4 linked regions of the Lonchura striata genome follow. The protein of the gene in region 1 purifies or fractionates together with the protein of each later gene. This does not show direct contact. Links are inferred from orthologs where the notes say so. Each region holds a gene or a part of one and is shown in the gene's direction. Other genes may lie near its edges.

Region 1 (7,653 bases):
GAGAAGGACAGCAGAGCTGGTCTGGAGCACAAGTCCCACGAGGAGTGGCTGAGGGAGCTGGGGGTGTTCAGCCTGCAGAAAAGGAGGCTCAGGGGGGACCTTAGCGCTCTCTACAAGGGCTTGAAAGGAGGCTGTGGCCAGGTGGGGTTTGTAACTTCTGGAGGCATCCTCTGCAGAATGTCTGTCAACTTGTTTCAATGGAAACTGATTTTCTGCTCCTCTCTTTTTGGCATTATCTAAGTTTTTCATACCTTTTTCACTACTAGGTTCCTGCATAGGTAAAACCTACCCTACATGTTCTCTCAAGCACCTCTCAAGCACCTAGTGATGGAACAAGGGGACATCATCCGAAGCTGCACCAGGGGAGGTTTAAGTTGGGCATTAGGAAGAAGTTCTTCACAGGAAAGGTGAAGACAGGCGAATGGGCTAGGGAAGTAGAGTCCCTGTCCCTGAAGATGTAGCACTTGGGCCATGGTTTAGTAGCCATGGTGGTGTTTGGCTATAGGTTGAATTTGATGATTTCAGAGGTCTTCCAACCTAATTGAGTCTGTGTTTTCCAATAGAAAATTAAATACAATGTTACTTCAGTTCAAACTTATTCATTAGGCAAAACAAATCATGCAAGATCTGTAGAATACGGGAGATGTCAACTCTGTTTTGTAAAAAAGAAAAAAACAAACTTAAAATCCCTTGAAATTAAAAACACACAGGTAGTTAGCAACCAGAAAGGGAAAGAGTTCTGATTATCTTAGCCTTACAATATCTTCTTGGCATTACAAACAAGACTGAATTGAAAAAAAGAAAATAAATTTTTTGGCTTTTTTGTTCTTTTCATAGCTGACTTGTTCTTTTCATAGCTGTATCAGTAGGTCAACAGCTTCCCTTCCTGCAGTGCATTTCTAAATCTACCTGAAAATTAACAAAAGGCCCAAGAACCACTATTGGGAAAAAGTCTGCCTCAAGATGTATACACTGTGCTGTTGCATAAATGTTTTGCTTTTGTTAAAAACTGCATCTGAGGTTTCCAAATGAGTCTGTCTTCAAATCCATTTATTTGCTTCTACAGATTTGAGAGCACTTTCGCATCTCCTCAGGGTGCTTCCATCTTTCTTCAATTGGCTCCAACAAGCATCATGAGGTTTCTAAGTAGTTTTACCACACCTTTTGATGCCTCCAAAGAAGAAGTGTACCCACAAGGCCAGGAAGGCAGAGCTGATTTTCCTTGAGAAACCACGGGCAGGACCCATCCATTGTTATGAAGCTCCACTGCATTTGGCTGAGAATCCCAGACGTGTGCCTACAAAACCTGTAGACCTGAACACCTCTGCTGCCTGGGTTGGTACAAATTATCTTTCCTCCTGCGTCCCACACCAACAGTTTTCAAGTTTCTCCTGTTTCTCCTGTCTTAAAAGAAAGTTATCTGTTCTGGATATGGAAAGTTAGTAGCCCAGACCTGAATTCCTTCTATCAGTCTAAAGCATAAATAAGTGCTTGAGTTGCTTGACATTCTAAGAATAAGCACTAAGGTCTTGGTTACTTGAAGACATAAACTGTCTGCAGTGTGTACTGATTAATGAATATTTGTCTTCTAGAAAAATTATTCGCATCAGGAAAACACTGTTTTCCTTAGCAACCAAAACCCCTGCACAAAATAATCATTAGGGGAGTCCTTTCTTATTGGCTTGCTGTTTAAAATAACTGCTGAACTCTAAATGTTCGATGTTAAAGTATTGAGTGTATTGTTTAAATCTGAAACTGCTAAATTTAGAGAACATAGGTTTTTACTTCAGAATCATTTGTTCTAACCTGCTCTCTTTTCCATTTATGTTTTTTGAGTAGTGTCTCTCCATACCAATCTTCTGATAGGTTCATTTTCTTGGGACTGTTTGCCATGTCCTAGAATACTCTTTATATCATGTAATATAAAGCTTTAGTTTTTTTAAGCAAACAGCTGCAGCAAAGACAGACTGTTCCTATACAACAGTAGTCATCACCTAGGGGAGCTCTGTTTAAACATTATTGCTGCTTGACTGCTCTTCACAAAGCAAACTCAGGAAGAGTGGTTTCAAAACTGTATGAAACATTCCTTTGTTCCTGTTGACCTGCAGGTATTTTTGTAATGCCTTAACCTTGAAGTAGAACATCTTCAATTTTTTCCTCTTTAAATTTTTTTTGTATCTGCTTGAGGCAGTTAGCTCTACAGTTTGTGAATCACTAAGTGAAATAACTGCTGTGAATAAGCATTCATTTTGTTTGGAAGAGGTGGAAGCATCCACTCTGGTAGCTCTTTGATTCCTAAAATATTCTAAAATTTGTTTGAAGCTATCAGTACTGAAACTGTTAAATATTTCTCAGTTTGGTAACTGTGATAGGTTTGTAACTTCTGGAGGCATCCTCTGCGGAATGTCTGTCAACTTGTTTCAATGGAAACTGATTTTCTGCTCCTCTCTTTTTGGCATTATCTAAGTTTTTCATACCTTTTTCACTACTAGGTTCCTGCATAGGTAAAACCTACCCTACATGTTCTCTGAAGCCGGAAGCCATATCCTTAAAATCAGGGATTATGTTAAGTATGTGCTAGTATACAATTATTAAAGAATCATTTCTCTTTTCCTGCAAAATGGCTTTGGAGTCAAACAGTTCAGCTGTACATTAGACAATCACCATCCTTAGTTAAATTGCACTCAGTGTTTTGAGGAACTATATTGTAACCTAGGAATGCTGAAGGAGATCTGTAGTTACCATAGCAAGAACTCAGATTGGTGTGCTCTTGGGAAAAGCAAACTGGAATCTGAAACAGAGTCTGACTCTTTTGTTGGTAACCAGGAAGACAAACACTGTAATGAAAGGATTTTCAGGGTTTGAGAATGAGTCCAGAATCATTCACAGAAATACAGACTGTTGAGCTTGGACCATCTCTTCTATAGGAAGCTGATTGTAGAAGTGGATTTTGGGTGATCTGTTACTCCACAATACAGAAATTAACTATGTTTTGAAACAAAGATGTTTGGGGGGAAGATTTTGAACACCCTATTAACATAATCTAAGGGGATTGAGCTAAGCGGGCATTCTTCAATCATTTTGTGTTGCTCTCCCAGTTCAGCCTCTACTTCTTTGGGGGAGGCTGAGGATTTAGTTCTTTGAAGCTATTTGAGTTATGCTAGGTCAGAAAGAAAAAGGATCCATTCTGAACTTTCTTAAATCCTCAGGGGTTACAGGAGTAGACATCATTAGATTTCCTTTAAAACCCAGATCTCAAGCTCTTTGTGAGCTGCCGGAGAACAGCTCACTTTTGCCACCCTAATGACTTTCCAGAGAAAAGTGGCAGAACACGATGCTGAAGTTCAGAGGTTTCTCATGCATAGCAGCTTTGTTAGTGACTCATTTGCTTTGCTGCAGAACAGATTACTCAACGAACACACTGAAAAAAGGTGGGGAATAGAATCAGGTAGGTATTATTTGTCTGGAGGAAAGGGTTGGGTTTTTATCTTATTATTATGTCTTTCCCTTCAGGTATGCCCACAATTTGACACAACTAAGGCGGTGGTGTTGAAAGCACGCCAGAAGAAGCATCGTGGTCCTCAGAAGCCCTATAATCAGGATGCTAACCACAGTTCATTTCATGCAGGAGGAGCTTGCCGAGGAGCTGTAGCCTGCAGATTTCCTCCTTTAACTTTTGAGAATCCAGAAGGACATGCAGTCCCTCTCTTGGATGATCCAAATTGCTTGATAAAGAATGCACAATGCTCTCCCACCCAGCCTAGGAAAGGGACAGCGGCAAATGCCAACATCCAGGTGAAGAGCCCAGAGAACTGTGGAGAGCTTGTTCCCCAGCCTGTGGAGCAAGATGTCCTTAGTCCCTCAGATGCAGAGGCTGTACAGGCTCCTTCCCCAAGGAACGGGAGATGCAGCAGCACTCTATCACCAAGTAGTCATGCCTGGCATCCAGAAGAAGAGCTGCCATTTGGTGTTGATCCGTGCGGGAGAGGGGAGGCGGCAGCAGTACTGGTCACGGATACCCCCGAGCACGAGTACGGAGTAAAGGTCACCTGGAGACGGCGGCCGCACGTCATGAGCTACCTGCGGGAGCAAGGCAAGCTGAGCGCTGCGGACATCCTGGTGAAGGCAAACCTCGAGCTCTCGAGGAGACAGGCCCACAGCTGACCCGGCGGGAGCTGCGTGCGAGGACACGCCCGAACAGATGGTGTCCCTTAGGGCGCTGAAGAGGGACGCGATTTCAGCCGGGCCGCGGGGGCGGCTCTTGGCGACGGGGGAGGGGGTGGGGGGTATGCGGGGCGGTCTCTCCTGGGGCAGTGTGTGGCAAGGGCTCTGTGTCCCGCGGCTCCCGCCGGGGCTGCTCCCCGCTCCCCGCTGCCGGCGGGGGCGGCTCCCGCGGCGGGCGACGGGGGCGGCCGTTGCGCCCCGCCGCGCGTGCGCGGCGCCGCGGCCAATCGGCGGGCGGCGTGCTCGCGGCCCCGGCCAATGGCGGCGCGCCTCAGTGCCGCGCGGCGTTGCTAAGGACAGCGGCGGGCGGGGGCCCATAGCAACGGCGGGGCCGCGATGGACGCAGCGGGGGGACCCGGCGGGCCCGCCGCCCACAGGTGAGCGGGGCCGGCGGCGGCGGCGGCGTGCCCGGGCCCAGCGGGGCTGGGCGGGGGCTGCCTCGCGTGGCAGCAGCGCCCGGCGCCGGGATGAGCGGCCGCAGCGGGGCCCGGGCGGGCGGAGCCGCGCGGCGGCGGCCACGCGGATCGGCGCTGCCCCGGTAACATCCGCGTCCCGCCGGCGGGCGACAGCCGTGCCGCTGCTTTATGGGCGGGTGTGTTTTATGTGTTGGTGTGCATCGTCCGAATACTTGTAGATTAAAGCGGTTTTATGGTGTCTCGGTCCCCTCCTGGTTTCTGGGTGCCGCTGTGAAGCGTTTTCGCGGTGTTATTCAGCCCCTCTGCTCCTCCTCGTGAGCCTCTCTGGGTATTTAGTGTCACTCTCGGTGGGCCTTTGCAAGAACAAAAGGAGGAATGAACTCTGAAATGAACTCAACTGATGTAATAGGAAAAACAGCTGTGAACTATGGAGAAGCGGTTTTGGAAAGACTTTATGCTTCTGGCACTTAAGTAGCTCAAAATCGAAATTATCCGAAATTAAATTTGAGTGTACTGGCAGGCAGAGGAAACAGGTTTTGGCAGAATTGGTGTGACTACAAAAAAACCCAGGAAAATCTATTTTTGTGCCTCTATTTGGATAGGAAGAAGTAAAGCAAGTAAAGGGAGAAACCTAATTTTTGGGTAGGGAAACGATAATGAGCACAGTGTAGAAGAGAAACCATACTTTTTTTATTGCATACATTGTTACATGTGGTAATTTAAGGAGAATGAAAAACAACAGTAAGAGTTAGAAATGGTCCTGTAATTGCTTGGATCCACCAAATATGCTATGGAACATCAGTTTACTTCTTTATGCAGACTTGAAAGGCCTCGGTTTGACTCGCAGTTCTGAAAACAATTTTTAAGGAAATTATGTCCAGATATGTGTAAATTTCCCCGCACAGTAAACCTTTAAGCTTGACAGAGTTGACACTACAGGAAGTAATGCTGCTCTTCTGATAACAGTTCTACTGGCATAATTTCTTTCTGCTGAGAAACTTGTCTCATGTGCTTTTATGGGTGTCCCCCAGAAACAGGCTAAAAATAATGGCAATTCATGGGATTGCTGCTTCCCTCCCATCCCAGTTTATTAAAGAAACAAACATTTCTTTAGCTTTCTCGGTCCCCATGGTTAAGGTAAGAAAACTAGAATACATGAACCTAAAGAAAAGTACATAGTTTTAAAATAGATCTGTAAGGCTTGTTGTTTTTAGAGGGGTTTGTTTTTCTGGAGTGTTCATCAGCATTGTAATAAATTGGAGGAAGACAAATGTCTGTATTCTTAGGAAGGTTCTTCTTTTTCTGAGACAAAAATAGTAAAATTATCCAGAAGTCACAAATCTGGTTACTAGAACTCTTATTTGGTAAAATAATTGTCAGTTGTCCGAACAGTGGATTTTATAGAAAAGGTTAATGTGATAGATAATAACTGGCACTTCATGGCAATGAAGATCCTACAGGTAAAGCTTAACAAAGCTGTACCTGAGAACTGGTGGGCTGCAGGTTTTTTTGACCATTTTTCCCCCTAGGGGTGAAATGCCTTTACTATTGAGCAATGTGAAAAATACACATAAAGATATTGGAAGTCTTTTATTTCTGAGGGACAGAGTCGAATATTACCAGTAAAAAATTAATGCATATTGTTTTGTAAGTGTGCTGTGGGATACACGATGATGGATAGACAGAAGAGATCTTGGATTTAGGCCATCTACAGGCTCTCACTTGCAAATACTGTGTTGTGTTAGACTTCCTTTGACTGGAACTGGCTGCAACTGAAATTGCTCAACTTCATTTTAAAATTTGGCTTCAGGTAGACATGGCACAACTGTCTTAATGCTTTAGAAAATGATAAGCTTGATATTGCTGTTTCATGGTTTTGGTGAGTGCTAGACCTTCTCTCTTATTTGGGAAAGTCTATTTGGAGACTTACCATGAAATTATTAGTGTAGAAACATTCAGGTAAAAATAATTCTAATGTAAGCTTTTAAAATATTGTGAAGGAAATTTGTTTCTTATGGAAGTATGTATTTTAGAATCTCTGAGACCAATGGACTTTGCACTTTTGTACACTAATCACACAGTGTACAAGGCTTACAGCTTCCCACATGCTGCATTCCAAATATGCTTCAGCTTCGGACTTGCAGATGTCATTTAAGAGGAACAGAATGTTCAAGGGGCAAAAATCTTGACTGAGTCTATGGAGACTACAAAACTGGGCATCAATTACAGCGGTCCTGCCCTCATTTGGATGCTTCCTTGGGGTCCAGACATGCATCAGTTAGTGGCTTTCTGTTTGTGAACTCTGGAACTCTGGGATTTTTGCTCAGTGTCTCCCAAAGTTAATGAAGAAAAACAGCCTGTTGCCAATAAGCTCAATTTTCAAAATATTAAGAGCCTACGGATTAAGAGAAGTTGAAATCTTCAAAAGTGGACTGTTGTCTGGCCAGAAGCCCTTTCCACATTTTAGTAACTTGAGTGTAGTTGAAGTTGTCAGGAATGTGTGTGCCTGCTGGGCTTTGAGTATTTTATATAAATGTATAAAATCATAATTAGGATTTTGAGGAGAAAAAAGACAAAATACTTTGCTAATTATTTTAGCTATACTTGTAAACCAGAGAAGACAGATAAGTTTAAAATTCCTTTTAAAAGCATCTCAGCGTCTCTATTAGTCCTTGGGTATTTTTATTTAGCCACCAGTGATCTTAAAATTAACAAGCAATGTTTGTCAAATTCCAGGACTTACAATTCTGCAGATCTTATCCTTAGATGATTGAGAATTGGCTTAAAATTCTGTGTTCTTCACCCTTTTCAGCTCTAAACATTATAATGAAGAAATCTGTTCAAAGTGAGATAAACCTGTAAATATTTTATAAGTGTGGTTGATATGTACCCCTTGGAGTACAGATTCAGCTGAAAAGAAAACCTTTTGCAATCTGATGCTGCTGCTGTTAATGTGAAAGAAGGAGTCACCTCACTTGTTGTGATGTAGACAGCAGTGGCAAGAGAGAATGTG
Region 2 (7,258 bases), on another chromosome or scaffold:
ACATATCTTAATACCGTGGAGTCTTATGATCCCCAGACAAATGAATGGACACAGGTATAGCTTCTAATCAGATCATACACTACTATTAATATTGTTATTTCAAATGTGCCTACTTTTGCAAGGAGAATTCAAATATTCCTTCTCTAAAAAGCAGTTTCTTTCTCGTCTGTTGAGTCTCTTTTTTTCCTTTGTGTACCATCTTGAGATGACTTCTCTTGAACAGAGAGTTGTTAATTTGTTGTTAATAAACTGCCCTCCTTCCTTTTGCAAGAGTATAGCTATTTTCTTTGACAATTTCAGCTACTTTTAATAAAATGTATTGCCACATTCCCCAAACTGTCACAAAGGATTCTGTTTACATTATTTCCTGTTCTGAAGATAAATGTAGATTAGTTTTAGCTCTAATATGTCTCTCAACATTCATATCGTTAAGGTTTTGGTCATTTTTTCATAAATAGTCCCTTCCAGAGGTGAATGCTGTGTACAGTGTATGTAGGTTCCAGAAAGCCTTTACCCATTTTTCTTTTTGCAGTTTTAAAATAAAAATAATTTTACAGTTCATGCTCAGAAACCATTACTGTCAGTTCAGAATTTGGTTCCTTTTATATAGCTCTAGGAATGTGTAGCTCAGTGGGAATAGCACACACAAGGACATCCTGAGCTGACTGTCCTTTGGTGTCTAATGCCATTTGAAATACCCTAAAGCATCTACATCCACAAAAGGTTGGCAGATACAGCACAGACTCTATGGGACACCAAGGCCATCCTGGAGTCCAGCTGCAGACCAGGATGAATGCCCAAGCTCATCTGTAATAGCATCAGACACCAGTATTTAGGCAACTGAATTCTGAGCCACTTGAATATGTCATTCTAGTAACAGCCCCAAATTCTTAATTCAAAAAGAGAACTAAACTGCTGTTTATAAAAATTCCTGGAACACAAAAAAACCTCAATTGTTCATTTCCCTGCATTTCATATTACTGCAAGCTCTTAAAACACAAGTCATCAAGGAGGATCATCAGAGCTTGGGTATTCACTGGTATGGTAATGATAACCCATGGCATTGTTAGTCCTGCTAAAGAAAAAAAAAGTATATCAGAGGACAGAAATTGCTTCTCACCAGAGGAGAGAAACTGTGCTTCTCACCATTGCATCATGTCTAGGTGGTGACCATCTGTATGTACCTTGATATCCTTAGCTTTGACCCCCTATATCTCACCAAATGCCACAATCCCAGTGTATAGGATAGTTTCAAACCCTTCCCAGAGGGATTGGGAAATATTTGTGTACCTTCCTTCTCTTGTTATTTCAGCAGTCTGCCACCTTTTCATCTTAATGCAACTCAGGAGAAGGCAGTGGAATTTTCTCAGGCGAAGGCTGTCAGAGTCACAGACAGCTCTGTAAAAGTTTATTGTTCCTGGGAAAAAAAAGAAATAGGGGAGTTGGCATAAACAGCCTTTTTTGTCTTCAGGATAGTCTCTGTACCACTCGGTGTGCTACTCACATACATTGCAATACTATGAAGGTTAAAAGGGGAAGCAAAGGGGAGTGTTAGAAACTACTGCCCACTGTTCCAAGTCCAGCAGAATCTCAGCAGAAAAGGGTCTTGCCAGAAGTAAATTGTTTGCAATTAAAGAATAAAGACTGGTGATTTTTTTCTAATTTCAAGAACTCTTAACAGGATTTTATCAAATAATCAAGTATAAAGGAGAGGTTGCCCCTATAATTTTAGGCATTTTTGGTTTCTGAGAAATGCATTAGTTTACCAACCTTTACTCAATTTTCTGACTGTCTAGATCAGGTATCCAGTTTGTACTAAAACAAAGGTTTCTTTTTTTCTGTAATACTGAATAAATGAAATTATCAATAAGAATTTCTTGATGTCCTTAGAGCTTGCTATTGTTTTCAGAGTGCTTCACTCTGTTACTGAAAATATCTTTACCTTTTCTTTGTGTTTGTATCCAATTTTGAACCAATGTGTAAGTCATGTTAACAGAGCATGGGTAATACAGTCATTCTGCTGCAGCCATATAATGAGGGGGAAATAGTTGTAAATTAGGGGGAAATAGTTGTAGTTGTAAATACAGATGACTGTATTTATCTCACAGATGGCTTGTTTGTTTACAGGTTGCACCACTGTGCTTAGGAAGAGCTGGAGCATGTGTTGTGACTGTAAAACTCTGAATTATTTTCTCTGGGAAGGTGAATTCTCCCGTGCAGATTCAGAGGATTGCTTTTTCCTCAAGCAAACTATGAGTGCACCAATAAACACCAGGTGCAGGACATTTACCATGGAAAAGTGTTTGGTCTGAAGCTAACATGATGTTCTTATGGACCAATATTAAGCACCTTTTAAAAACTTTTGTTATGCATATGTTACAAGAATTCTACTTGTAAGCAAGTCAGCTGCAACCTGCCAGTTGGTAATAGAGGACTTCTGTTTAGGAAGTGCTAAGAAAATGAGTGAACTCACTATAATAATCAAATATTATGGTTCCAGGGCCTTGATTTTCCTAAATGCAGAGCAATGATGCTATAAATGGATATACTTTCATTTAATGGGGTCTATCTCTGGATGAAACAAGTTATAGGATTGGACCCCATCGATTTAATTTGCTTGTAATAAATGCAAGTAGGTATCTGAGTAACTACAAGGCAGGCTAACAAACCAATGCAAACCATTGTAAATGGCAGGTGTGTGATGCCTGCCTTGGAAATGAAGTTGTGTATTTGGTGAATCTTTTGCACTTTTTATCATCATTCCTAGTTTAGCAAACTTTTTATTTAACCAAAGCCTTATTTTAAATAGTCTTATGCTAACAGAAACCTACTATTTGGTAATTTCTGACAGATATTTTTGACATCCAGTGTACTTTTTGGATTTTCAGAGTTGTTATGCAAGATGCAGAACATCATACCTTTTTCTCTGCTTTGGTTCTTGTATTTACTTTGCTGTTTGTATGTGTTATTGGAAAAATTCTGAAGTGTGATTAACAATTAATCAATTTAAGTTTAATATTTGCACTTTGGAATTTTTGAAGCATTCCATTACATCTAGACTTATTACATTTTTAAATGAGGCTTTGCACTACTATAAGAAGTATAATTTTATATGATGAAGAAATTGTCTGTCTTTCCTGTAAGGTTATTTAAAAATGTAAAGGGCCCAATCCTGCCAGATGCTCAGCTGCCACCATTTAAGCATGTTCAGCATCTTACAGGACTGTGATGTGTGCCTCGCAGGGCTGTATCAAATTTGTTACCTTATTTAACAGTTAGCTAATTTTTTCAGATACTTTATAATTTGCCTTTCTCGAGCACTCTGCTGTTACACTGAATTGCTTTGAACGGTCTAAATGTTCTCGGGAGAAGCCTTTTTGTATTTGTTTTTACGTGCCTTGTCCCTTAAGTTCTCCGAACAGCACCGCGCGTGAAAAAACGGGAATATGTGAACTCATTGAATGTTTTGGGTTTGTTTTTTTTTTTAAACTTTGAAGTGCCCGATACCCAAAGTCCTTTGTACATTTGTAATTTTAAGCGTGTGTTTTAACGCTCTCGGCGAACTATTTATTGTTTTAAAAGAAATCGGTGACACTTTGTGATGAAGCTTTGCAGTTGGAATACAGCTGATCTCAAGAGGCTTTGCTGGCGGGTGTGTGCCTTTATTCTCTCGCTTAGAAGCCCGTTCTGCCTGCCTACGGTCTAAAATCGCTCCTTTTCCTCCGAGAGCTGCGCGCACCGCGCTCTGGGGCCGCGGCCTCACGCAGAGCTCCTCCCGCCGGCTCCCCCCGCCGAGCTCCTCCCGCCGGCTCCTCCCGCCGGCTCCCCCCGCCGAGCTCCCCCCGCCGAGCTCCCCCCGCCGAGCTCCTCCCGCCGGGGCCGGCCCGGGCCGGGGCCGCTCCGTCTCCGCGGTAACCGCGGCGCCGTGGGCGGGCGGCGCATGCGCGGCGGCGGCGCTGGCGGCCGCGATGAAGGTGGGTACGGGCGCCGCGGGCCGGGCGCCGCGGGCCGGGGGCGGGCGCGGGTCCGGCCCCGGGGCGAGCGGCCCGTGGCGCTTGCGGCCCGTGCCGGGGAGGGAGGCGCGGCGGGAGGGGCCGGCGGCGAGCGGCGGGGGGGCTGGTGTGCCTGCCTGCACTGCCGTGTTTGTTTACTTCGCATGCAGAAACTTCGGGTAGAAGGGAGCTTAAAGCTCATCTAGCTGCAACGCCTGTGGGCAAGGACATCTAACACTAGACCAGGTTGCTCAGGGCCCCATCCAGCCTGGCCTTGTACGCTTCCACGGATGAAATGTCCAGAACTTCTGCGGGAATCCTGTACCAGTGCCTCTCCACCGTCACAGCAAATGCCTCTTTGTAACTAATCTAAACCTACTCTCTCAGTTTGAAGCCATTCTCCCTCGTTCTGTGGCTGCATGCCCTTATTATAGTCCCTCTGTCTTGTGTGTTTTCTTCAGGTACTGAAAGCCCACAGTTCGGTCATGCCAAAGTCTTTGCTTCTCCAGGCTGAGTAATCCCAGTTCTCTCAGCCTTTCCTCATACATTGAGAGGTGCTTCAACCCTCAAATCATCTTGGTGGCCCTCCTCCTTAAATTATTTTTCAAAATCAAACGTCATTGTCAGATGATGTTTGTGGCTGTGGCATGTGGTGGTTGTATTTTTGCTGTTCTGGTGTGCAGAACACAGATTCAGTGTGAAGAATGCTTCAGTTTACATTGACCCAAAAGTAGGGGGAAGAACCTGTGTCAGACTTGAGCAAACCTCACAGGCATTTGGGGTGGACGTTTATGTGGGATTTTTATGCTTCAGTGCATTGGAATCACACAGAAGTTAGGTTTGTAATGTTTGTGAGGTTTTTTTACCTCTACAGTACTCAGCTGCTAACATGCTAGGCAGTTGTAGTATTCTTATGATTTTAAGATGTACAATTTCCTACTTTTTTTTTTTTTTTTCCCCAGCAAGTATTCTGTCTGTATGAAAAAGCTTGGTCTGGTTCTCCTGTGCAGTTTGCTTGGCAGAAAACTTTAGGAAATTTTCTTGCTGTGATAGGGTAAGACTGCAACTATTCATTGCATTTGTTCATCATAATTACTGATAAAGAAAGGGAATTATTCTGTATTCTATATATATACATTATGTATATACATATAATACATTATATATATACATCATATATACATTTTATATATACATTATATGTATATAATTTTTTTTAGCATTGATCATTCTGTGAAAATTTTTGATCGTCATGGTCAGAAGAGAAATGAAATCAGCCTACCAGGGTAAGTACTAAGATAGGTTTAAATTATTTTCTTTGTTGTTTTCTTTAAAAATGCTTCTATTCTTAAACTTACTTAAACAATGTGAGAAATGTGTAGGATGATATACTATCCCTGGTGAACATACCTGGCAGAGAAGACAAGTTATGTAATTAAAATGTTAAAAAAAGACTTATCACATTAAGAAGGATCATAATGAGGTTGTGTAAATTATATCTTTGTATTCTTGCTACTGTTGATTTTCTAACAATTTATCATGGCTTTGCTGAGAAAAGATATTTCTTTAGTGCTTTGTTTGCATCAGTGGCATAAATATACACATTGGCATTGTTGCTTTAGGTGAAGATGATACTTCTGAAGTGAATCTTTGTTTTTTTTCCCAGCTTGTCACACTTTGGTTCACATCAGAGAATGGTATGGGAGTTTACAGACTGGATTTTTTTCAGATTAAATTTAAAAACTTGCATACTTTGGAAGATATATTGAACTTCTTAAAAGGCAGTCAGACCATTGGAAAATCCTGGATATGAACCAGGGGTAACCTCCCTAAGGAAAAATGGTGTGACGTTGGGTCATCATATTGGTTTGCTCAATAAATACATTTTTATTGGGCACCATTAATATCTCATGTAGTTACATTTGTGTACTTCTCATCTCTTCTTATCACTTTAATTGTTCTTGGTCATCATGGAAAATTTTTATTTCTAGCTACCTGATGAATTTAGATTATGATAAACTCCTTAGTCAAGGCAAAACTCCCATGGTTTTTAAGGCTGAAACCTCTAGTCAAGAGTATAACTTAAATTTCCAGATTGTCACTTGCAATACTCTGTCATTGGTAAATATCAGCCAAAATCACTTAGTTCCCCAAGAATCTAGAAGTCCAGTCTTTGTAGTTTGTGGTAGTTGCCGCTTGCACCAAACCAAGAGATGCAGTTCTCCATGTCTTTACCAGACTCCCGTGTATTTCACTGACCATCACATCTTGGTGTTTGGGTCAGGTGTCATTCATAATATGGTCTGGCTGTGTCTGTCTCTTTTGCTTGGTAATATCCATGGCCCAGCTCTCTGTGAAGTGTTTTGCACAATATATGATAAATGCACATTCTCTCCAGAAAACTGTCCAAGTGAGGAAAGGTGTGTGGAATCAGTGGTGTATTATCAGAATAATAATCCCAACTCTGAATAGCCTCTAACAAACCAGAACCTTGCAGAGCACTTTCAGTGTCTCTTGAAAATCAAGGTGACAGTCTTCCAAGTATTAGAACATAGGTAGCAGTGTCTTTTATGACTTTCCTCTCAGCTCCTGTCATCAATGAGATTTGAATAATAGTGGGGTTGCTATAGAACTAGTTTACAGATAAATCTGCAATCTGTCATTGGTTTACAGGGGAGAAGGAAGAAATAGGGACTCGGTTGCGTTGTTCTGGCTGTCTCTGTATACTTACAAATACATTTTAACATTCTTAGTGATTTTTTTTTTTTTCTTCAGTAACTGTGTTGCTATGGACTGGGATAAGGATGGAGATACTTTAGCAATAATCACAGACAAATCTAGCACCATATTTCTGTGGGATGCAATCACAAACAAAACAAGCCAAGTAGACAGTGGCATGAGGTAAGAAATTTTTTTTAACGTGGTTATTTAAAGCCTTGGACCACTATGACTTGTTGATGTGGAGGCTATATTTCAAGATCATCTTTGTATTGGAGTCCTCGTAATATATATACTAATTAAACTAACATACTACAGTTAATTGCTACAAAGTAGAGTAATTTAGGATGAAAGTAGATATCTATGGTTCAAAACCTTACCTTTCTGAATTTGGCCAGACACTTCAAACTCTTCTGGGGTCTGCATAACCATCAAGCATTGGGTTAATAAATAAGCTTGGTTTAACAATTAAACTTCTAGCTTCCTTGAGTCTATTCCACTAAACTCTTGCATTCTATATAAACATTCTTCCTGTAATATAAGAAAAA
Region 3 (7,531 bases), on another chromosome or scaffold:
CACACAGCACGGCTCTGACCGAACTGCAGCAGTGCCCACACTCACCCCTCGAGGCACAAAGGCTCCCAGTGCAGGTTCGTGTCTGGAGAACACAAAATACACTGAACAAGAACTCAGCCTTTCACTGCTCCTATTGACTTCTGAGGGGCAACTCCCAAGGCATCATCAAAAAGGAGTGCAAGAGCAGCCACGTGTATTACACAAAAAAATTACAAAGATATGCTCTGGGACATAAAGTTCATTTAAAAGGGAATTGCAGCGCAGGAGATGGCACAGACACATGCCGTGGTTAGTGTTGCTCAGGATGTACAAACTGTTCTGGAAGTGAGGAAATCTCATATTTGTTCTCTGTACCCAACCACCAACAAAAGGTGTCTCTCAGTCCTAACACATATTGACAATTCTGTTTGTTTAGAGCCTAGAGTGAATCTAAATCCTGCTCCAATGTAACAGGACATTTACCAACAACCTGTAAAAGTCATAAATAACCATTGAAATAAAACAGTAAGGTCTGGAAATCTCTATTTGAATTTATTCCTGTAAAATACATAAAATCTTCCAGGACCAGTTCTTCTCAACTGACTTCAGAGGTTTTGCTTCCTGAGGGCAGAGAACACATTTATGAGAAGTCCAAGGCACCATACAATTCATTTGAGTTTTGCATGGTGTGCCCCATCCTTGTTCTCACAGAAGCTCAGAGCTGCAGAAACAGCAGAGGACCCAAGTACTGCCAAACTGACCTCCCACAAGAAGGTAACTCCTGCAGCACCATCGCTGACGTGGAGCAATGTCTGCAGGATCAGAGGTGGCTTTAGGATCCCTGAGCCACTCCCTCACCGGTACCTCCACAGAAACCTCAGATACTACCTCTGCATCACTTGGATTATTTCTTCCTTAGAACTGTCTTCACAAAAATAACCACCAAACCAATCTTACATCCCCACCTCCCCTTTATATGCTGACAAATGCATCTTGCATGTGTTTTTTAAGAAATACAGATCTCGCCTCAGCTTCCAGAGGCAAGAAGGAAAAAGAACGCTTGCACACAAAGTTGCATAGAATAATAAAAACTTTCTGATCTGATTACTCTGCAGCTTGTTTTGAGAAGCAGGTAGTGGGAAAAACCAGTATGTACGTATTTTTCAGGGTTTTTAATACCTTAAAGAACCAGAAAAGATCCCCAAACCTCTCTCCCCCAACAAAGACTACCTATAAAGTTAATTATCCATAAAATAATCCCTTTGAAGCCACATGTATCAACATTTTTAATCCCAAGGTTTTTTTAAAAGCTGTTGGTTAGCAAGGCCTGCAAGGGAGAAATTCTACCTCTGTAACCTGGGTCTTGCCACTAAAGTTAGGAATTCCATTGTATTAAAGCCACTAATACTATCCTGCAAATAGCTCGTGATGTTGAACAGTAACAACAAAGCAGCATTTACATTTCTATCCATGAAGTTTAGACCAAAATTCTGTGTTGGTGGCAGTTCTGGGAAGAAGGCTGAGTTCTATCCAGTCCAACCTCCAAGGCGGAAGGGAACTCTGCCATGGGAAGCCCACGCGTGGCACGGTCCTGTTGGCTGCAGCGCCCAGGTGGGGCTCTAAGGGCTGCTCCTGCACTCCAGGGAACGAGAGATCCCCGGGACAGCAGGGAGACCAGCCGCGCCCACTCCCGCGCAGCACGGGAAACACAATGGATTTGTGTTTTTGTTATTCGAACAAATCCCAACTCTCGCCGCTTACCATCAGGCCTCTCCTACACCACGCAGGTTCCATTCCTAAAGCAGCAGTGATTTAGACAGGTGCTGCCCCCCCCAAACAAGCCCCTGCATCCCGGGAGCTCAAGTACCGCGATGCAGGATCTCGGGTGGGGCTGATGTGTTTTCCCGGAGGACACGGGGCGATGCCCCACAGCATCCCTGCCGGACCCCGCGGTGCCGGGGCGCTCCCTCGGCAGGGGCGGGGGCGAGCGGCACAGGGCCGGGGCGGCAAGGGACGGGAGGGACAGGAGGGACAGGAGGGCGGGGAGCAGGCTCGGGGCAGGCTCGGGAAGGGACGGGAAGGGACGGGAGGGTCGGTAAGGACGGGAGGGCCGGGAAGGACGGGAGGGCCCGGGGCCGGCGGGGCCGGCGGGGCCGCCCGAGGGAGGGGGCGCGAGGCGGCACGAGCGCCACGTGACGCCGGCAGCGCCGCCGGTCACGTGCCCCGGTTTGTTGTGGCGCGGTCACGTGCCGCGGTCACGTGCGGCGGCGCTGCCCGCGGCGGGCGGGGGGGGCCGGGCGCGAGGGGGGCGGCGGCTGCGGCGGCGCCAAGATGGCGGACGGGGACGCTGCGCCGCTCCGCCCGCGCGGCCCCGCCGGCCCCGGCAGCGACGGCGCCGAGCCCGCGGCCAAGCGGCACCGCCGCGGATCGGGGAGCGCCGCGCCCGCCCCGCGCCCCGACCGCGCCGCGGGGCCGCCGCCCGCGCCCCTCGCCGCCGTGCCCGCGGAGCCGCCGGGGGAGACGGCGGCCGCGGGGTTCGATGGCGGCCGGGCGGAGCGGGAGGACGGCGGCGAGGCGGCGGCGGCGCGGAGCGGCGCGGACGGCGGGGCCGGGCTGCGGGGCCTGCCCCGGGCGGAGCCGCCTCCGCGGCGGGATCAGGGGGAGGGCGCGGAGGCGGCGCCCGGCGAAGACGCGGCGGAGGCGGCCCCGGGCTGCGGGCGGGCGCAGTGTTCGAACGGGGCGGCCGCGGTGCCGGCCCCGCATCCCGGTGAGGAGCGACCCCTCCCTTCTCCCCTCCCTCCCCTCCTCCGCGGCTCCCTCCTCCCCGCACAGCGCCGCCCCCGCGTGTCGCAGGGGCGCCGTGTCACCGGCCCGGCCCCGCCGGCCAGGGCAGCGGCTCGGCTCTCAGCCCTGAAAACATCTATTCTGCTGTGTTGCTGGCAGCAAGTTATTAAAAATGAACAAATATAAGCCCGGTTTCCTTTTCGCAATCTCTGCCGCGTTAATTATTTTATTTCTGATCCTTAGAAACTTGCACATAGGCTCAGCAGCAGCAGTCTTGACTAGTTCTTTAAAGAACTGCAAGTGACAGTCTTGGCTAAGGTTTCAGTGACTGCAGCACAAAACTAAGCTAGATCTCAGAGGATACGGGGTGCAGTATCCTCTCTTTTCCTAAAAAGTTTCTTTCAGATATTTACTGGTGGGCAGCATCAGCATCACTGTGAAAGTACCTCACAGTGCACACTGATCAGGTTTGAGTTCTGTTTTGTTTGAGTTGTTAATTTTGGCTTGCCTTTTTTTTTTTTTTTTTTTTTTAAAGCAGTGCTTTGGAAAGACTTATTAAAATTTATCAGACACTGGATTCTGCCAGTATAGTCTTTACATTTTATCTTGGAATGCCGTTAGAGGTACTTCAACTCTGTAGCAAATGTCTGTGCAAAAGCAGTACAAAAGGAACAGGTATAGAGTAAACCTGGAACAGCCTCAGTATTTAAAATCTCCACTAGAACAGCTGACAGCCAAGCCAATGATCTGTTACTAGTGCCTTACACAAAGCCTTTTGCTCAGGTCCCTCCGAGCCTCAGGTGTTTTGCTGTGGCTGGCTTAGTTCTGGCCTGCATTATCCCCTCTGGTCCTTTGAGGAATACTCAGGGAGTGTTACAGTTTGAACTGTTACTTTATCCTTCTTGTATCTGTCAGCGTTTCCTGAATCCCAGGCCCTATGCCCTGCCTGTGAGGAGCCTTTCACAATGTAAATTTTGCTTCTTGATACAGAAGCCATAAAGGTCGCTCAAGTTAAACTTGTACCTCGCGGTTACTGATGTGTACTAATGCACTTTTTCCTTCTCCAAAATTCTCAATGTTCACTGACTTCATGCATAACATGATGGAACTGAAATGCTGTAAATAAGTAGATTAATAGGAAATAGTAATGTCCATCAGCACCTGTGGCCTCAGAAGAACAAGACAGCAAGGACCAACAACAAATTTCTGTCATTGATCTTTATTTTCTAATCAAAAATAAAGTCAAATCAAAAATTTATGCTAACAAGGAGAAGGACAACACAACCTCTGAATAAAAAATGATGGTGTTTAGTGGTGTTCTTTATTTGAGAATCGAGCGGAATAACAGCTAAAACAGTGCAGGGGGTTCTTCAGTTCTTCAGACGAGAATGAGAACTACGTCAGTGATTCTTTGCTTTACAGAGCATGAGTGAAATTTGTTCTTTGTCCATAGATTTTCAGCAAATGAAGCTACAGGTGCTGAGGCTATTTCTAATGAAGCCAGTAAAAAAGGTTGTTGAGTAGTCTATGTTCTAATAAGCTGCTCAGGCTGGAATTTAGATTTCCCCTTCAACGTGAGCTCAGTAACACAAATTGTTCTTGTTCTGCCCTGGGCTCACTCATCGAGGTCTGAGATGGAGTTAGATTGAGTTACTCTGGCTTAAAGCCACGGGCTGAGCTGAGGTGACTCTGGCACTTTGAGCCAGGCCCAGCTGCAGGGCCAAATGGACGAGAGAAACTTAGTGAAGGTGGTACAGGGGAGCATGTTCTGTGTCACAACTGAAATATCATAAATTGTGTATGTGGTCAGCAATACAGCCGAGCTGCAAGGTAACATCCTCACCAAATCCTGTGAATTTGTTGTAGCAAATGTGCATTTGTGGGTTTCTTTCAAAATGTTGTTAAATGCTCTTAAAACCTAGTCAAAGATCTGTCTGCACTGGTGACATGTTTTCATTTTACCCAGTTTTTGAATGAACTGAATGCAGTGGGAAAGGGAAAGACGTTTTCAGTTATACTTTTAAAACATTTGGATTATTTCTATGGTGAAATACCCATAATGCCCAACACTTTAGAGAACAAGATTTCACCAAGGTCAGCATCCAGTCCCCCTGAAGCCCAGCACTGAGGTGCAAACCCTGCAGTAAATCTACCAACATCTTGGAAGTCCATCTCTAAATGTGAAGAGAAATAGACATTTTCTGTGCCTAAGTGACAAAGCTTCTGACTGTGTGATTTTTGTTTTTGTGATCAGTTTGAAGATGCACTGTGCCCTTGGGCTGGAGTGTAACCCCATGCTCATGCTGTCTTGCAGATAACTTCCTCCTCAGCGAAGAAATCATAGCCAATGGCTTTCACTCCTGTGACAGTGATGAGGAAGACAGAGCCTCCCATGCAAGTTCCAGTGACTGGACCCCAAGGCCACGTATAGGTAAAAGCCTGGAGCATGATCTTGGATGCTCTTTGCCTTTGAACAATCACTCCCTAGTGTTCAAGTTATTTTTCCTGTTGCAAAAATATTGGCAGTTAGTGCCTCTGAACAGCTTAGAGTGTTGACTGTATTCTGTATGTTATTTAAGGAGTTTAAAAATGAACCTTGAAACTTGCTGTATTTTGATTAAAATTGTCAATGTCTTAATTTTTTCTTGAATATAAATCCTGCCACAATTCCTATGAAAAGCATACACACAGGTTCACTAAATTAGACTAATTTATGGCATGTTTCTATAGCTTGCCTACTTAGTATTAATTCTTTAAGGGACAAGAAGATGATCCCTGTATGATTTTAGGACAGTGAGCCCTCATCTCAAGTGTTTCTGGAAAGATTGATTTAATGGCTTGAGGAGGTAATGTCTGAAATAATTTGTGTTAAATGACCAAAAAACCAACAAAAATCATGGATTTCTGGTCTCTATGTGTCTGGTTAGAGTGATGGTTTATAATATCTCTGGAAAATATATGTATGTTTGTTGTTTGTTTGTTGTCAGCTTATTCCTGTAAATACTGAATGTTGGGAAAGTACAGATGGAGGCACATTGTGAAAATCCTGTTGCACCTCTAAAAGAGGTTAACTTTGCTGTGAACTGGGATTTTCACTTGACCGACTTTCTATGAAATCCTTCATGGGTTAACATAAAATAATGATATATAAATAAAATGCCCAGCTCTCACTTTTAGATCAAAATACAGGGGGTTTGATAAATGGAGCATTAAATTGGATTAATGAAACTGTACTAGTAAGGATTAATAAATGGAACAATAACCATGATAATTTGTAGTACCTAACTCTGTTTTAAATATCTGTATTTTTAAATTTTCTTAGGTCCCTACACTTTTGTTCAGCAGCATCTCATGTTAGGTACAGACCCACGGATGATTCTGAAGGACCTGCTACCAGAAACGATCCCCCCACCTGAACTGGATGACATGACTCTGTGGCAAATCGTGATAAACATCCTTTCAGAGCCACCAAAAAGGAAGAAGAGGAAAGATATCAACACCATTGATGATGCTGTGAAACTTTTGCAGGAGTGCAAGAAGATCATGGTCTTGACTGGAGCTGGGGTAGGTATTGCTGCAATGACGGTGTGAAAATGTGGAGCCAGGTTGGTTCAGTACTTCAGTACAGCTTGCAGGGATGGGAACAAGAGGTTGCAAACCCTGCAGTAAATCTGCCAACAGCTGTCGGGGGAAGAGTCCAGTCCACTGCAAGGACTGCAGCTTCCATTGGAAATCACACATCTTTCTTCTCAGAACCAAATATTCTTAGACACAGAAACTTGTAAACAGCTGCTCCCATGCAAAACAGTTTTGGAATAAGAACACATTATCTGTCCAGAACTTTTTCTATCCTAGTCTTTTGTTTTAAAGCAGAATCTCAGTGGATCTCTTAAAATCCCAGATGGAGCTTGAGGGACTGGAAGAAGAGGATTTGAAAAGAGTTGGGGGGGAGGAGGAGGATGATCATAAGGACAGTTTGGTCAGATTTCAGCAGACTGAATGTTACTTTCAGCACGTGGTGCTCTGTGGTGCTGATAAAACTACTCACTCTTTGACTAAAGAACATTTCTGAGCTGCAGCACATTTGCAGCTCTGTACCTGTGCACCAGATCATTTCTTGTTTCTGTTGTTCACACACAGATGGTATGATACGATCCAGATCAGATGAGTAATTCAAATCAGCTTTTAGAAGAGCACTGCTACTCCCAGTCTTGCTCTTTCCATACTTGCACACACCTGTTCCTCTTCCCATGCTATTTTGGGGTAGTCTGAGACAATGATTTCAGTCCTTATTGACTACTACAATGCTTTGATAAGCAGTGTTTATTGATAAACAACTTTTATCAAAAGGGGTTTATTCTTCAGAAGTAAGAATATATTTTTTTAAAAGCAAGACTATTCTGTTAGTGTGTTAGCATGTAAAAAAAATTTAAAATATCAACCAACATTTCTAAGCCTGAGTTGGCAGATCTGTGAACAATTAATAATTAAATTTAATGCAATAATGCTCTAAATTTTTGTTCACATCTTACAAAACTTCCAGTGGTAAAAGCAAGTTCTGGTATCCTGTTACTACCTGTGCAGACTGTACTAAAGGGATTTTGTCCACTTGTCAAATTTTGTTTCTGTGCTGTTTCTCCTGGTTGTGATTTGGGAATTGTTATATGGGACCAAAAAAAAAAAAAAAAAAAAAAAAAGGAAAAGAAAAATAAATACAGAGAACCCAGACTGGTTTGGTTGTTCTTAATGTTTCTGAGCACTGGGCATA
Region 4 (7,584 bases), on another chromosome or scaffold:
CTTTCCGCGCCGCGGGGAAAAGATGCGGCGGAGGAGAAGGGAAAGGGAGGAAACCGGTCCGTGCCAGAAGCGCAGGGGCCCGGATGGCCCCATGGCCGCGGATGGCCGCGGATGGCTCGGCCAGGACTCACCGGTGCCGATGGCGCCTCCACCGCGGGCCGGGCGAGAGAGGGAGGGGCCAGCGCGCAAGCGCTTTACGGGACACGGTCCTGGCAGGGGCGTGTGGCGCTGCGGCCGCGCACACAGGGCCCCAGGCACCGGCGGGGCGGCGCGGAGGCCAGGCCGCAGCCGCGGTGAGGTGGCACCGGGCAGGGAGGTTCAGTCCGGCGGGGGCGCCCAGATCGGTGCTTCCCGCTCACCTCCACGAACGGTGCGCTGGCTACGGGGCTGACAGGACCTGTCCGTCACAGGCAGGCTGTGCCCGCCAGCCACTTCCGCCAGTGCGGGCGGGCGGGCGCCGCCTGGCGGCGCGGCGGACGCGGAACGCGCCCGGCGCTCCCCGGCCGCAGCGACACGGGCCCGGCGCGGCTGAGGCCGGCAAGGCGCCGGTACCTCCGGCAGCACCGGGGCACAGCCACGGAGCGCGGTGTGCTCTGCCCGGTCTGCTGCTGGCCCAGGCTCCCCCGCTCAGCCCAGCACCGGCATCAGATCCCGAGCGCTCCGGCCCCACCGGATGGCTGTGCCCAGCCTGGCCACTGGACGGCTGTGCCCAGCGGGACCCCAGCCTGGGAGGCAGCTGTGGGCACAGAGCTGCGCTGCAAGAAGAGACAGGCACTACAAAACAGGGACACGTTTATTAAAAAAAATAGCGGTAACTCCATGACATCACACAAATATTTACACCCAGAACTGTGAGGGTGCCCGAGGGAAGGTGGTGGGGCCAGGTCATCCCCAGCTCAGTTCAGTCGATGCTCAGCCTCTCCCGGTTCTCCCACAGCCACGTGTGGTACACGTTCAACTTGTGGTCCTGTGGCTGTACCTGAGACACAGGGAAAATGTCAGATATTTACTGAAACACCTTAAAGTATCTCATCGCTCCCACATTGTGAGCATTGGTTTTCCAGCGCCAGGGGGTCAGTGGGCACAAGTGAGATGCCGAAGGACCCAAAGGGCACCACCCACCTCCTTCCATTCGTTAACACAGAAGATTCTGTAGGAGTCGTTGCCGTACTTGCCGATGCCGTGCAGCTCGATCGGGTAGCGCCACGCCTTGCTCAGGTACTCACCTGCCAGGCAGGGCACAGTACTCAGCACCTGCACACACAGACCCTGCCCTCACTGCCTGCACATAAGGCAGCTGGCCAGGACCCTGTGCCACTCTCACATGTCTTCATTTTAAATGAAAACCGTAAGTTTTAGGTGTTTCCAGGTGCATGCAGACCACGAATCCCCACGGGTTAATCTTAAACTCCTTTTCAACAAACCACCGTGGGAGTTTTAACCATAACATCTTCCATCAGAACAAAATTCTCCTCTGCAGGTTCTATGTACAGAATCAGAAAAATGCCAGCTGGAAGGGCATTCTGCAGGTCACTGGGGCACCCCTGAGCACAGCCACCTGTAACAGTGCTCACACACAGCAGCAGTACTGCAGGTGCTTGGGAGCTTCTGCTCCAACGAGTTTCTCTCTCCTGCAGAACACCCCATGGCTGGCATCTCCTTCCCAGCTCAGACTGGGACCACCAGCTCTGCCTGTGCGACACCAATGGATCCCAAATGCTGCAGAACAGCCTCCACCACCCAACAGAGGAGAGCCACAGAGCAGCGCTTGCACCAAAGCTGTTTGTCTTTTGCCAGCATAACCAAGATTGTTCCAGATGTCAGGAAAACCCACCTGAGAACCTGATGATGGTTTTGGCTCTGAGTTCGTAGAGGCCAAGAGGCTTGAGCAGCTCTGACATTTCTTTCCAGTCTGCAGCCCTGGCTACCTCAGGAGAAGGATACTTCTTCAGGAACTCCCAGAGCACTGGAATAGCCATTTTCCCTGGTGAAAGAACCCTGTAAGCAGGAGGCTGGGCTGGAGTTCTCCTTCTGCCCTATCCATATGCTTTCTCAAGTGAGCTTTTCCAAGGTAAGGTACCAACTAAGAATTATTATTCCACAGTGACACAAGTTAAAATAAATCAATTCTTTCATTAATACCATTAAAACTGCAGCTGTTTCAGCCCTGTAACACCTCCAAACATTTACACACCTACTCCTGCTTCTCTACTTACCTGAAGTTTTGTTGAGAAATATGGTGGCAATGAGAAGCTTCCATGGATCATGGAAGAGTGTTTCCTGGATAAGATTGAAAGGAGAACGTGGAGGAGTCCATTTTCTGAGGGCCTTTCTTCTGGGTGGGCTGAGGGCTGTACAGGGGCAACACAGGAACATTTATTAGACAGGGAAGGATGGTGTTACCTATTTAATGAAAAAGAACAAAAAGACCTCTGAAGCATTTTTGTGGAGGCATTGTGCATAGATGTAGACACAGCAGTTCCCACACAGCCTTTACAGGGCTGTGGGGGGCTGTGTCCCACTTGGCACAGCTGCAGCCAAGGGGGTCAAGCTGCAAGGAACTTTCCACATCATCACTTGAGCCTGAGCCATCCTATCCCTTCCCCGCAAAAACATGTCTTTCCCTAAATAAAATACCTTCTTTGCTGTATTTACTGGAAAAATATGGACTCGTTTTCCTTCTCTCCACTTGTGTTCGTGGGACAGACTCTTCTGTAAAGAAATAAATTTCAGCATTAAGAAAAAGCACCAAGTATTCTGCTGTCATGTTTCACACACCACTTCCTCTTTATAAAGTGATGGAAACAGAAGGAATTCTTCTCGTGTACAGGACACAAATGTACCTTAAATCTCCTCAGATCTTGCCTGACACTGTACAGCTTAGAGCTTGGCACAGTGAGTTTCAGTTTTGAGTAAGCCTGCATTAGTTTAGATGCTGTTGGATACAAATGAGATCTGGATGTCAGAGCAGCTCGAGCTGAAGCAGAACACGTGGCCTCAAGAGCCAAGGGAGGCTGGGCAGAAGGTGAAGGCTGGCACCACCTCCTGCTCTCACAGCACGCACCTGGTGACGTTGTGGCTGCGGCGGAGCTCGTCCTGTCCCACGGCTCAGCATCCAGCTCGGGCTCAGGTTTCGCATGCTGCTCGCCCAGATCCCCTGGACCTGGCACTTTCCCCGTCTCCAGAGCAGAGGATCCCTCCTCAGGCCTCGCAGCAGGTGTGCCACCGGAGCATGGCCCCTGCTTTGGCAGATGACCCAGCTCCCTGTGTGAGCCAGCCGCCGAGCCCAGCCGTGCCCTGGGCATTGCTGACAGAGCTCTCCCTGCACCCGCAGGGTCAGCACCCAGTGCCCCCACTCCCTGGCTGTCAGTGCCACAGGCATCTGTCTGCCTACGGACCCTCTTGTTCTGAGCACACTTGGTCTCCCATGTGTTAGAGATTCTTCTCTGCCTCTTGCTCTTGGGGTCACCTTGGTTCCTCCTTTCTGAGCCCTTCTCACACTTCCTTGTTTGGACAGTTTTTCCATCTGCCCTCTTTCTTTTGGTTTTCAAACTCTCCTCTGGGTTTATGCCTACCACTGCTAAATCTGTGCCTTCCACAGTAGATATAGCATCTTCCAGGTGTCTATTCCCAGCCTGGATGTTCTGAGTTCCAACCTCAGCACCATTCTGTGCACGGAGCTCCTGCACTTTGCTCTGGCAGTCCTCCTTTTCCAGGTCAGTCCTCGCAGCTCCAGTGCCACATCCCCTCAATCCTGGGCGTGTACTCCCTCGAGGAGCTGCAAAATCAAAATCTGCTGCTTTCAGTGTTGTCTCCCCAGTTTTCTGTAAATACTCCACAAGTGCTCGTTTTGACCTCAGCTTCTTCCCTTCAGGGCTGTGGTAGGAAAGGAAAGCAAATTAGCAATGACTCTCATTTTCCCGCTCTTTGCTTAAAAATCTTCAATAGTACATAAAAACAACCCCAAAACGAAGCACAAAACCAGTTTTGCGGGGACGTCTGGGCAGGTTGCTGTGCTCCTGCCAGGGAAGCCACACAGAGCCGCTGGCAGCCGCAGCCTCACCTGATGAAGTACACGTCGGTCCTGCCGGCCGTCCGGCCCGCCCGCCGGCGGCTGCTCACCCGCTGCCAGCCGCGGGCCCTGCGCCCGGGGCCGGGCCCTTCCGCCGCCGCCGCGCCTCCACCGCCGCCCCCGGGGCTGCGGGGGAAGAAGAGCGCGGTAAGTCCTGCTGCCGGCGGAGCTCCGGGCTCGGCGGGGCGCGGACCGCCACACGAGCCGGGCCCGGGCCGGGCCGCGCGCAGCCGCGGACGGGGCCCGTACTCGGGGCCCGTGATCCCGGTCCAACCGGGCCCAGCCGGGCCCGCCCCGCGCTCACCCGCGCGCCGCTCCCGGCGCCGCCATCTCCCGGCGCCGCCCCGGCCCCGCCCGCGCGAGCGGCCCCCGCGGCGCCGGCAGCGCCCCCTGGCGCCGGCGGGCCGCGGGCGCAGGCGCGTTGCCCGTGGCAGCGGCGGGGCCGCGGAGCGACGCCCGGCGCGGAGCGGGCCCGGCCGTGAGGGGCGGTGCCGGGCCGTGCCGAGCCGTGCCGGGCCGTGCCGGGCCGTGCGGGGTCCGGGGGATGCGGGCCGCGCTCACCTGGCGCGACAGGGCCGAGCAGTGGTGAGCGGCCCCGGGCGCGCCGGCCCGTCCCGCTCCGAGCGGCGGCCCCGGCTGCGGGGGCTCCCAGCGGGGTCGGTGCCTCTACCAGCGCTGGCCCTGTGGCACACCCGATCTGTTTTGTCTCCTGACACGCGGTTCTCGGTTTGTTTGTTTCCCTCAGCATTTACGACCTCGCGTTCAAGCCGGATGGGACCCAGTTGATAATTGCTGCTGGAAACAGGCTGCTGGTAGGGAAACCTTCCTGTCCTCTCTCCTTTTCAGCTGTATAAGCGTGATTTCTTTCACATTAACTTATGAATATAACCTATCTGAAATCCCCTTATCTCTGTCAGTGCAGCCTCTCAGCAACATACATATTAATGCAGGCCAATTCTAAAGTGTTTTGAAGCTTTTAAATATTTCTTACCAAGTTTTAAGCTCTTTTTCCAAAAGTAATGAGATTTACGTTATTTGTGTCATCTCATGTTCTTGCGCTGTGCCCGGGGTTTGAGATCCATGAACCTGCCCTTAGTCCTGGCACAGCGTGCAGGGGCTGTGCTGGTGCAAGTTTCTTTAAAATCTCGGTGACAAGGGAACATGCTCAAACCCGTGTCCTGGCATTGTGGGCGCCGTGTGGGAACATTCACCTCAGGCTGTTTGTGGGTCCTTGGGGCTGCTGCAAGAGCAGCTCAGGACCAGCTGCTCAAAGGCCCTGTGAAGCTGTGAGGTGGGGCAGCTGTAGGAGCTGCAGGAAGGCATGGATGGATGGATGGATGGATGGATGGATGGAGGGAGGGATGGATGGATGGATGGATGGATGGATGGATGGATGGATGGATGGATGGATGGATGGATGGTAAAGGTGGAGTTCAGCATTGCAGGACAACAAGTGTTATTTTCAGGGCTAACAGAATCATGTATTTAGTGGTGTTCCTTTGCAGTAATTATTATGCTTAAACATAAAATGCGTAGAAAGATGTTTTAACAGCAAGATGTAAAATATAAAAATAAAAGATAAAAAGCCAATAAGATGTAAAACAAGCTGCCAAACAAGCTGTTGAAAAATGTCCTTTGTGTGTGTTATTTTCTAGTACTGACTTCTTTCTAAGAATATAATGTTACAGAAAGCTGTTTCTGTGCTAGAAAGTGTTTTGTCTTTTATGAACTATATGAAATCCAAAAAGCAGACACAAAAGGAAGTGCATAATCTGCTGGCCTTCAGTACTTTTGTATCCCAGCCCTCACACTGGCGGTGTTTTAGGCCAGGTTGGATGGGGCTTGGAGCAGCCTGGTTTAGTGGAAGGTCTCACTGCCCCATGGCAAGGGCATGAATTGAGTGAACTTTGAAGTCCCTTCCCACCCAAATGTGTTCCTCTGATTCAATGAAGGGCTTTTTGTGTAAATTCTTTTGTTTGTATTGTTTTTTTCTCCCCATTTGAACAGGTGTATGATACTTCTGATGGAACCCTAATTCAACCTTTGAAGGGACATAAGGACACTGTGTACTGCGTGGCTTATGCCAAAGATGGTAAATGGCACCTTGGGGCGTTGTTAGCCTGTTTTGTAAAGTGCATCTCCTCCGTTTGGGATTGCCCACTGAAAATGAAGAAATGGGCGTTGTTTGGCTCGCAGTGTGGGGTGCTGGGGTTTGTTCTTTAATGAGTGCTGGGGTTTATTGTCCAGTGCAGGGTGTGATCTGCTGTGCAGAGTACAGTGCAAATACCTGTAAGGTCACCTGTGAGCCCAAGAGCTGTGGTCCCACTGCTCTGCTCTTTGACTTAAGTGTTGAGCTTGGCACTGGTGAAGTGTATATTCATGAGAAGGCTCACCTCAGAGATTCCTGTTTCTACTGCTCACCTACATCTGAGTTTTAGTCCTGTAGTTCCTCTGTCCTAGAGGAAGTTCCTGGTAGTTCCTGTAGTTCCTGGTCCCCTGATCTTTCATATGTTACCTGCTCAGTGCACTCTGCTTCCAGTTTTCTGCGACTCTCATTCAGTGGAACTCACTCTGTGGGCAGGAGCCTTCCTGCAGCTGCTGCTGTTTGGGTGATGGGAGTTCCTGTGACCTTGTACCAGTTTCACTTGTCACTGTTCCCATCAATCTCCAGCTTGGGGCTGGGCAGCACTGGAAGGACTGGTGAGTAGCAAGGCCATGGAAATGGTGCAGTACAGCCGCTGGAACTCCATGTGCCTGGGGAAGCACCAGCACTTACAGGCACTCAGTGTCAGCCCCTTATTACTTGAGTCTTGTTGAATTCAAGAACTTCTTGCTCTCTCTTTGATTGAGTATTTGGAGTGAAAGTGATTCTTGTATGTGTGGGATTTAAATTATCTCTAATTCCTAGGCAAGCGTTTTGCATCTGGCTCTGCTGATAAAAGTGTGATAATTTGGACTTCAAAGTTAGAAGGAATTCTGAAGTACACGTAAGTGATGCCGTTCAGTTCTGTGCCTCAGAAGCTGATTTTGATTATGCACTGCTGCGACTAAAGAGCACGAGCTATTAGACTTGGGAGAAGGTTCACTAAGGTCAGAGAAAAGGGGTGATAGGGGAGGGAGGAGGAAAAGAACAGCTGAAGTATCTGAATGAGGCAGGAAAGCAATTAAAGGCATAAAAGGAGGTGGGAAGTCCAGAGAAATCTGTGAATTTAGAGGGCTGACAGAGAACTAAGGAAACTCAGAATAGGTCAGAGTAAAATGAAACATAACATGACCAGTCTTCTATAATAAATCATAATTCTGGTTCACAGATCAAATTAAAGATAGGTTTGGAACTTCTGGTATATTTCAATCATTTGGCTCCAGCCCTCTGAAGCAACAGCTTCATGTTCTCCTGACTGCACATTTATCAAGAGTTAGCTGGTCACTGCACAGAGCCTGCACAGGCACACATGGTTTAGGATTTGGATACAACCTTCAATCATATTTCACAAACAGTTGCTGTAATCTTG

The links.
Region 2: the proteins of TULP3 (region 1) and WDR19 purify together in Homo sapiens (affinity purification with mass spectrometry; 5 studies listed by BioGRID and IntAct, counting the BioPlex papers as one, with this or other methods). This does not show direct contact. The link is inferred for Lonchura striata from reciprocal best matches to the Homo sapiens genes TULP3 and WDR19.
Region 3: the proteins of TULP3 (region 1) and SIRT1 purify together in Homo sapiens (affinity purification with mass spectrometry; 5 studies listed by BioGRID and IntAct, counting the BioPlex papers as one, with this or other methods). This does not show direct contact. The link is inferred for Lonchura striata from reciprocal best matches to the Homo sapiens genes TULP3 and SIRT1.
Region 4: the proteins of TULP3 (region 1) and IFT122 purify together in Homo sapiens (co-immunoprecipitation; 6 studies listed by BioGRID and IntAct, counting the BioPlex papers as one, with this or other methods). This does not show direct contact. The link is inferred for Lonchura striata from reciprocal best matches to the Homo sapiens genes TULP3 and IFT122.

What each region holds. Positions count from the first base shown.
Region 1 is NC_134604.1:31,058,093-31,065,745, reverse strand, and holds the start of TULP3 (tubby-related protein 3), read left to right. Parts: upstream 1-4,527; 5' UTR 4,528-4,560; coding exon 4,561-4,601; intron 4,602-7,653. Other genes in the region: RHNO1 (RAD9, HUS1, RAD1-interacting nuclear orphan protein 1), read left to right, coding at 1,168-1,335, 3,514-4,164. UniProt on the Homo sapiens protein: Negative regulator of the Shh signaling transduction pathway: recruited to primary cilia via association with the IFT complex A (IFT-A) and is required for recruitment of G protein-coupled receptor GPR161 to cilia, a promoter of PKA-dependent basal repression machinery in Shh signaling.
Region 2 is NC_134606.1:22,777,322-22,784,579, forward strand, and holds the start of WDR19 (WD repeat-containing protein 19), read left to right. Parts: upstream 1-3,891; 5' UTR 3,892-3,968; coding exon 3,969-3,974; intron 3,975-4,954; coding exon 4,955-5,046; intron 5,047-5,212; coding exon 5,213-5,278; intron 5,279-5,284; exon of another isoform or gene 5,285-5,658; coding exon of another isoform or gene 5,659-5,689; exon of another isoform or gene 5,690-5,801; coding exon of another isoform or gene 5,802-5,812; intron 5,813-6,767; coding exon 6,768-6,893; intron 6,894-7,258. Other genes in the region: KLHL5 (kelch-like protein 5), read left to right, coding at 1-54, 2,128-2,184. UniProt on the Homo sapiens protein: As component of the IFT complex A (IFT-A), a complex required for retrograde ciliary transport and entry into cilia of G protein-coupled receptors (GPCRs), it is involved in cilia function and/or assembly.
Region 3 is NC_134609.1:35,338,259-35,345,789, reverse strand, and holds the start of SIRT1 (NAD-dependent protein deacetylase sirtuin-1), read left to right. Parts: upstream 1-4,248; 5' UTR 4,249-5,194; intron 5,195-6,085; 5' UTR 6,086-6,114; coding exon 6,115-6,327; intron 6,328-7,531. UniProt on the Homo sapiens protein: NAD-dependent protein deacetylase that links transcriptional regulation directly to intracellular energetics and participates in the coordination of several separated cellular functions such as cell cycle, response to DNA damage, metabolism, apoptosis and autophagy.
Region 4 is NC_134614.1:23,873,441-23,881,024, forward strand, and holds the start of IFT122 (intraflagellar transport protein 122 homolog), read left to right. Parts: upstream 1-4,548; 5' UTR 4,549-4,616; coding exon 4,617-4,657; intron 4,658-4,817; coding exon 4,818-4,884; intron 4,885-6,079; coding exon 6,080-6,164; intron 6,165-6,980; coding exon 6,981-7,059; intron 7,060-7,584. Other genes in the region: MBD4 (methyl-CpG-binding domain protein 4), read right to left, coding at 902-979, 1,123-1,226, 1,835-1,984, 2,217-2,351, 2,638-2,712, 3,065-3,876, 4,064-4,198, 4,377-4,402. UniProt on the Homo sapiens protein: As a component of the IFT complex A (IFT-A), a complex required for retrograde ciliary transport and entry into cilia of G protein-coupled receptors (GPCRs), it is required in ciliogenesis and ciliary protein trafficking.